Xenopus tropicalis: one gene and its partner. The protein of the gene in region 2 purifies or fractionates together with the protein of the main gene of each other region. This does not show direct contact. Links are inferred from orthologs where the notes say so. Each region holds a gene or a part of one and is shown on either strand. Other genes may lie near its edges.

Evidence for each region. The genes of interacting proteins can lie anywhere in the genome.
Region 1: the proteins of mcm7 (region 2) and cdc6 purify together in Homo sapiens (affinity purification with western blotting; 3 studies listed by BioGRID). This does not show direct contact. The link is inferred for Xenopus tropicalis from reciprocal best matches to the Homo sapiens genes MCM7 and CDC6.

Annotation. Positions count from the first base shown.
Region 1 is NC_030686.2:8,861,648-8,865,274, reverse strand, and holds the end of cdc6 (cell division control protein 6 homolog), read left to right. Parts: intron 1-350; coding exon 351-415; intron 416-1,587; coding exon 1,588-1,799; intron 1,800-1,905; coding exon 1,906-2,046; intron 2,047-2,462; coding exon 2,463-2,549; 3' UTR 2,550-3,015; downstream 3,016-3,627. UniProt on the Homo sapiens protein: Involved in the initiation of DNA replication. Also participates in checkpoint controls that ensure DNA replication is completed before mitosis is initiated.
Region 2 is NC_030679.2:144,209,813-144,214,240, reverse strand, and holds the start of mcm7 (DNA replication licensing factor mcm7), read right to left. Parts: upstream 2,886-4,428; 5' UTR 2,848-2,885; coding exon 2,820-2,847; intron 2,453-2,819; exon of another isoform or gene 2,411-2,452; intron 642-2,410; coding exon 562-641; intron 1-561. UniProt on the Homo sapiens protein: Acts as a component of the MCM2-7 complex (MCM complex) which is the replicative helicase essential for 'once per cell cycle' DNA replication initiation and elongation in eukaryotic cells.

The DNA of each region.
Region 1 (3,627 bases), on a different chromosome or scaffold from region 2:
TACTTATTTATATTCGGATTAAGGTTGAAAGGAATTGCAGCAGCTGGGAAAAATTCATTTACTTGATATTTTCTTTTATATAATAACTAGATAGGTTAGCAGCTACAGTAAACCTGTGTGGGTTTGTTTATGCCAAAACACTATACTTTGCAGTACCATATATTAAGGAATACACAGTAGTGGCTGCATCTTCAGACTTAGGTCTGCTGGAAGCTGCATGCAGTGGGTGGTGCATCGCTTGTATAATCAGTTCCTAGCATGCTCTGGGGAAATGCTGTTGGAAAGCTGCTCTGTTTTGCTGTTTATGCATGTCTTTCCAGGCCATAATCCTTAAATTTTTTTGCTTGTAGGAGAGCTGTTGAAATTGTTGAAGCGGATGTAAGGGGCCAGACTGTCCTCAAGCCGCTAACTGAAAGTAAGTGAATGCTTGTCTCCACTTTGTTTCCCTTTGTGCTTCTTGTTTCCTCCATACCCCATAAAGGAGCTCATTCACATACTGGGAGGATGTTTTAGGTTGCCCCTACCTGTCACAGCTAAAAAAAAATAGACTATTTTACTGATAATTGTGTGTTTTAGCAGAGGCAATGCTCAGTATTGTATATGGCAGGGTATTTTCTGGCATTTAGTAGCCATATTGAGTATCTGCTACTAAGTAGCTCTGTGTGTCTTCACTCAGAGCTTCCTGTTAGATTTGCATTATCTTTGCTGCTATGGAAGTGCTGTAATGCTATTTGTTGCATCAACTTGATAAGAATCCTTGGAACAGGTTAATATATGTAGATCTGAAAAGTGGTAGGAAGTTGTAGAAGACCTAATTATAAGAGCTGTAGTTCAATGTCGTAAATTAGTATTAAACCTAGATTCCATAGATCAGGGATCCCCAACCTTTTTTACTTGTGAGCCACATCCAAATGTAAAAAGTCTTGGAGCAACACAAGCATAAAACATGTTCCTGTGGGTGCCAAATCAGGGCTGTTATTGGCTATTTGATAGCCCCTATATGGACTGGAAGCCTACATAAGGTTCTGTTTGGCAGTACATCTGGGTTTTATGCAACCAAAACTTGCCTCCGAGCAAGGAATTCAAAAATAAGCACCTGCTTTGAGGCCACTGGGACCAACACCCAAGGTGTTTGGGAGCAACATGTTGCTCATGAGCCAATGGTTGGGGACCACTGCCATAGATACAATACGGTCACGCTCAGGGCATCTTGATGTTATAATACACCTTTAAAGTGGGCTTCCAGGGTTATCTCCTTTTTATATATAAATGTCCCTAATTGGCCTAATTACTGTGCTTTCAGAGGACTGTAAGCTCTGCAGAGAACTTCTGTGTCTTACCATGTCACCCTTAATTGTGTATTTGTTCTTATTATGCTTGTTGTCCCTCTATGTAGTTTTCTAGGTTAAATTGTACAGAGCGGTGTATCCTTGTAGCGCTATATGTTATGCATACAATATATGCCTTGCTTAGACACCGTTTCTTAATGCAATAAAATGTAGTGGACATAACTTTTTATTAATGGTCTTCGTGTTTTTTTTTTTTTTTTTTTAACTAAACTAATTGTGCTTTCTTTTTGTCATCTAGGTCTCTCTCCTAGTAAGGAAGTTCCATCAAACCCTGTTCCAAAAAAAGTCAGCCTTCCACACATCTCCCGTGTCCTGTCAGATGTATATGGGGACAAGATGGCAAGCAGTGGGGGGTCAAGCGAGAGCTTTCCCTTACAACAGAAACTGCTGGTCTGTGCCCTGCTGCTGCTAACTCGACAGAGCAAGATCAAGGAAGTCACACTTGGCAAGGTATGTCTGTTTCATGGTGCAGATATAGGTTGTTATATCAACTTTTAAATATTTAAAATATCAAACTTTTGTTCTTTCCTCATATATATTTTTGTCTTCTTCATAGTTGCACGAGGCATACAGTAAAGTCTGCCGAAAGCAGCAGGTTCCCGGCGTTGGGCAATCGGAGTGCCTGTCACTTTGTCAGCTCCTGGAGACAAGGGGCATTCTGGGGCTAAAGAAAGCCAAGGAGGCCCGGCTTACAAAGGTAATTCCATTAGTTATTTTACTTTAGGCTACTTTCATACAAACTACATGCCGCAAAATACCATTTGTTTTAATTAGTTGTATTGTTTTATTATCAAAAAGAGGGGGTTGTGGATAGGGACAAACGGAACCCGCTATTTTGGGATTCGGCCGAACCCTGAATCCTTCATATCCTAACACAAATTAGGCTAGAGAAGCGTTGGAGAACCATGCCCCCTCTTTAAAAAAACAGACTTAAGGTTTTGGTTTGGCTGAATCCCAGATTTGGTGCATCCTTAGTTGTGGAGTTAAAATGCCTTATTTAATTTTTGTTACTGATCAAAAAACTCTGTATCCCCAGTTTATAAATCTGCTATAAACGACTTAAGCAGTTAATGGCAACAGCAATGCTAATAAATTTATTGTTCTTCCTTGTAGGTATCCCTCAAGATAGAGGAGCGGGATATTGAACATGCATTCAAAGATAAAGTTCTGATTGGAAATGTTCTGAATTCGGGGATATAATGTTTTGTTCTGCGTGTATCTCTGATGTAACTTCTGTAAATTTATGTACAATTTTAGCTAATGTATCTTTAGAATTTTATCAGTTTTATTTTTTGGACACGTGACTGTTTACACTTGTGTGGGTACTTTTTTTATTTATAAAGTGAAAAAAATTGCAGGCCCCTTTTTAAAGAACAGGCACTTGGTTTTATCCTATGCCTGGTTGTCTTCCATTTTTCAGCACAGTCATAAGTATGGAGGCTTTAAGTGTCTACACATGAAATAAACTCTAGTGTCTGTTGTAAATAGTTGGCGCTGAGGGCGCTGTTTATAATTTGCTGTCATAGACAGCAATGTTAATGTTTAAGTATCTGTAAGGTACGGTCCTGTTTGTGGTGGTCTCTCGTGGACATGGTGTCTTTATGACCTGGATTATACTTGCGTTTTAATCAAGACTCCTATTTTAATAAACGTTTAAAACATTAAATCTTGTTGTTTTTTATTTGTGGGGGGCCAGGACCAATTCAAATAAAATACAGCCTCATTTTTTTGGGGGGCGGGGGGATAGTTTGAATCATTTTGTATGTTCATGTTCACTCTTATGTGTGGCACTTTGAGTATAATAAAACACACACACAGATAGATAGATATATAGATATATATATATCTATATATCTATTTCAACATTTAGCGCTGAGTGAGACACGTAGGAGGTTCTAGTGCTTTAAAGCTTACAGTAAGTGGGTAGGAAGTTCACACAGGAGGGGAGTAGTGCTCTATTTGACATTGCCAAGACTATCGGTTATGCCAGTGCTCCAAGAGGGAGTTGAGATGTAATGAAGATTCTCTAGGGAGGAATTCAGGGATGAAATTGCAGGGGTAGGAACAACCAGAGAAGTTTATGGCATGAAGCACACAGTGGCATAACTTTGAAACTGCTATCCTGTGGGACAGGCATTTTAGGCAGCAGTGGGGGCTTGGTTAGGGCTCATGGTGGGGCAGAAATGGGATATGGTCTCTTACAGGGTCTTACCAGACTCCCTGCTAGTTGTTGAACTGGGTTGTGTGACCAGAAGGTAACTGATACTTGTCAGGAGAC
Region 2 (4,428 bases):
TACACAGCGGGGTATTTATATAAACTATAGTAGGGTTTCTGTAGCAAACACCCCAGCTGTACCAGTGCAGGAATGGCTGCCCCCGGGGCTACACAGCGGGGTATTTATATAAACTATAGTAGGGTTTCTGTAGCAAACACCCCAGCTGTACCAGTGCAGGAATGGCTGCCCCCGGGGCTACACAGCGGGGTATTTATATAAACTATAGTAGGGTTTCTGTAGCAAACACCCCAGCTGTACCGGTGCAGGAATGGCTGCCCCCGGGGCTACACAGCGGGGTATTTATATAAACTATAGTAGGGTTTCTGTAGCAAACACCCCAGCTGTACCAGTGCAGGGCGACAGTACATTATTTTGTATTTTTGGTGTTACCGTTTCTTTAATAAGCTATACTATGACCCATGGTACAGGCACGAGGACACTAAAACCTGCAGTATTGGAACTCTTGACCTTTCTGCGCTACATTTCGCCACCCAATGTGCAGCATATATCAAAAAACACTATGAAAAGCCTACTATATTGGGGCTTTAGAATACTCCATACCCCTCAGTAGCCACTCACCAGCTGGACTCCATACTTGAAGTTCTTCTTTCCAAGCTCGTCATCTTTGTAAAACTCCTGCAGAAAGGTCTTGCACTTCTCTATAGGGAAAAGCCAACAGGAGCCATCAGTAAGTCATCTGAACCCTCAGAAGCACATGTAACATACAAGAACTTGTAGATTGTAAGCTCTTTTGGGCAGGGCTCCCTTCCCCTAAGCTCTCTTGTAGATTGTAAGCTCTTTTGGGCAGGGCTCCCTTCCCTTAAGCTCTCTTGTAGATTGTAAGCTCTTTTGGGCAGGGCTCCCTTCCCCTAAGCTCTCTTGTAGATTGTAAGCTCTTTTGGGCAGGGCTCCCTTCCCCTAAGCTCTCTTGTAGATTGTAAGCTCTTTTGGGCAGGGCTCCCTTCCCCTAAGCTCTCTTGTAGAGTGTAAGCTCTTTTGGGCAGGGCTCCCTTCCCTTAAGCTCTCTTGTAGATTGTAAGCTCTTTTGGGCAGGGCTCCCTTCCCTTAAGCTCTCTTGTAGATTGTAAGCTCTTTTGGGCAGGGCTCCCTTCCCCTAAGCTCTCTTGTAGATTGTAAGCTCTTTTGGGCAGGGCTCCCTTCCCCTAAGCTCTCTTGTAGATTGTAAGCTCTTTTGGGCAGGGCTCCCTTCCCTTAAGCTCTCTTGTAGATTGTAAGCTCTTTTGGGCAGGGCTCCCTTCCCTTAAGCTCTCTTGTAGATTGTAAGCTCTTTTGGGCAGGGCTCCCTTCCCTTAAGCTCTCTTGTAGATTGTAAGCTCTTTTGGGCAGGGCTCCCTTCCCCTAAGCTCTCTTGTAGATTGTAAGCTCTTTTGGGCAGGGCTCCCTTCCCCTAAGCTCTCTTGTAGATTGTAAGCTCTTTTGGGCAGGGTTCCCTTCCCCTAAGCTCTCTTGTAGAGTGTAAGCTCTTTTGGGCAGGGTTCCCTTCCCCTAAGCTCTCTAGTAGATTGTAAGCTCTTTTGGGCAGGGCTCCCTTCCCCTAAGCTCTCTTGTACAGTGTAAGCTCTTTTGGGCAGGGTTCCCTTCCCCTAAGCTCTCTTGTAGAGTGTAAGCTCTTTTGGGCAGGGTTCCCTTCCCCTAAGCTCTCTTGTAGAGTGTAAGCTCTTTTGGGCAGGGCTCCCTTCCCCTAAGCTCTCTTGTAGAGTGTAAGCTCTTTTGGGCAGGGCTCCCTTCCCCTAAGTTCTCTTGTAGAGTGTAAGCTCTTTTGGGCAGGGTTCCCTTCCCCTAAGCTCTCTTGTAGAGTGTAAGCTCTTTTGGGCAGGGTTCCCTTCCCCTAAGCTCTCTTGTAGAGTGTAAGCTCTTTTGGGCAGGGTTCCCTTCCCCTAAGCTCTCTTGTAGAGTGTAAGCTCTTTTGGGCAGGGCTCCCTTCCCCTCCTGTATCGGTTATTCATTGCTTTATATGTTACTCTGTATGTCCAATGTATGGAACCGATACAGGAGGGGAAGGGAGCCCTGCCCAGAAGAGCTTACACTCTACACTTACTATACAGCGCTGCAGAATATGTTGGTGCTATAAGAACACATGATAATAATAAAGAAATGACCCAATCAGCGGTATGGGACAGGGCCATTAGTGAGTGTAGTTATGTTTGTGTCAGTGTAGGAAGGTACAGCGCAGGGCCCGCTGCCCATATGGAACCGTTATCCAATAAACGTCCGCTTTTCCCTACAGCCCCGCCCCCAACGGCCGGCCCCGGGCGATACCATTCCTGTTCCGGGGGTTCCCGGCTCCCCGCCAGTTGCATGGAGCTGCCCCGGGACACAAAGGGACTCCCTGTATCACGTGACAGCCTGGGCTGGAAGTGACGTCAGAACCGGAAGCGCTCCCTACTCCGCGCCGGTAAAGCGGGCCCTCCCTGGCCCTAATGGTACATCCCGGGCCCTCACATTACAGGTAACCCAGCGCCCCCCCCCCCTCGCCTCACAGTCAGCCAGTCCGGAACCTGCGCCCAATAGGCTTGTAGCTGCCGCCTATACACCCCGCAGCACATTCTGCCGCCACAGAGGGGCCCCGGGAGATACAGGCAAACCTGCCCCATAAAGCAGCTTCATTATAGGCCTCTCCTTCCGCAGAGTGTCGTAAAGTCATTGTGCTGTACGGCACACTATCGAGGTGTAACTACAACTCCCCATAAACTCTGAGCTGTGGAAACGAACTGGCTGTGAGGAGAAACAAGCCAGGAATATAAAGGGAGCCCCAAGCTTCCGCTCCCTCCCTCTAACCAGCCCCCCTCACTGATACTGCGGCTTCCCCTCCTCACCTTTCTCGGCTTGGTAATCCCTGGGCATGATGGTAACTCGCTGCGCTGCTACTGCCTCACTCTCCGGATCGCCTGTGCCTCTTCTTTTCGCGGGCTTTTACTTTCCCTGCGCTCTAATTGGCCGCCGGTTGCTCGCTTGCTTTGTACCTCCCCTAACAACTGAAGCGGAGCGGTGAAGCGACGGCGCTTGTAGCCAATGGGATGCGTAGCGGGATAAAGCAGTTACTCGATTGGCCGTAACTTAGCGCTACCGCAACCAATTGAACGCGACTTTGCGGTCACATAGATCCGCCCCCTAGAGTAAGTGAACCAATAAGAGTAGGTAATGGATGCGTTGCAACCTTATGCTTTGGCGCGCTTTTAGAGGTGGCGCTTGTGTGTGGGGTTTTGTTATTGCGCTTGTCGGTGAATGTTGTGCTTTCTTATCTCTGAGGCAAATTAAACTGTAACAGGTGGCCTGCTGTGATATGAGGCGTTATATGGCTAAAGCTAATCACAGAGAAAATATTTTGTGTGGTAAAATGCCACCATTTATGGAATTGACTAAAATATTAAACCTGCTCAGCAACTCTCAGTATTTCTGTAAAATATGACAGGGCCCCCAAATCACTTACCTGGGGGCCACATTTATTGGAATCCAGCTGTCATTAGGAACAACTTTGGTTAAAATCAGTTGCAATCATGTGACAATGCCAAAGAAAAATCACTTTTTTTCCCTGTGGTGATACAAAGGGCAGAAATATAACATACTATAGGAGGGGTGAGGGGCAATATTTGGCAAAAATTGCACTTTCTGAGACATTTTCAGCCCACTTACTGGGCATGTTGTAAAAAACAATGTCTCCTATATTTTGTATAGAACACAGCGCTGCGTAGGAATGAAGACAGACTGAATAGATTGAACACTGTAAGGGGGTCGTCGTCTTAATTCAAATCTATAAGGGTGAAGACACACGGAGCTACTAGTAGCAGCTAGTAGCTAGTGGCTACTAAAACAGACAATGCTGATCATTTACTGATAATTGTCTCTGTGTGTGTTTAGCAGAGGCAATTCTCAGTATTGTCTATGGCAGGGGATTTTCTGGAGTTTAGTAGCCGTGACAAGTAGCTGCTACTAGTAGCTCCGTGTGTCTTCACCCTTAGGAAGAAGACACACGGAGCTACTTAGTAGCAGCTACTAAAACAGACAGTGCTGATCATTTACTGATAATTGTCTCTACGTGTGTTTTAGCAGAGGCAATTCTCAGTATTGTCTATGGCAGGGGATTTTCTGGAGTTTAGTAGCTGTGACAAGTAGCTGCTACTAGTAGCTCCGTGTGTCTTCACCCTTAGGAAGAAGACACACGGAGCTACTTAGTAGCAGCTACTAAAACAGACAGTGCTGATCATTTACTGATAATTGTCTCTACGTGTGTTTTAGCAGAGGCAATTCTCAGTATTGTCTATGGCAGGGGATTTTCTGGAGTTTAGTAGCTGCTACTAGTAGCTCCGTGTGTCTTCAGCCTAAGAAGTGTAATTTCTATAATCTCTATGTAAAGTGACCTACTGGGAGTAGTAACTAGGAGTTACCGGATTACCAATTCCTGCTGTAGACTGAGCATCTTGTATT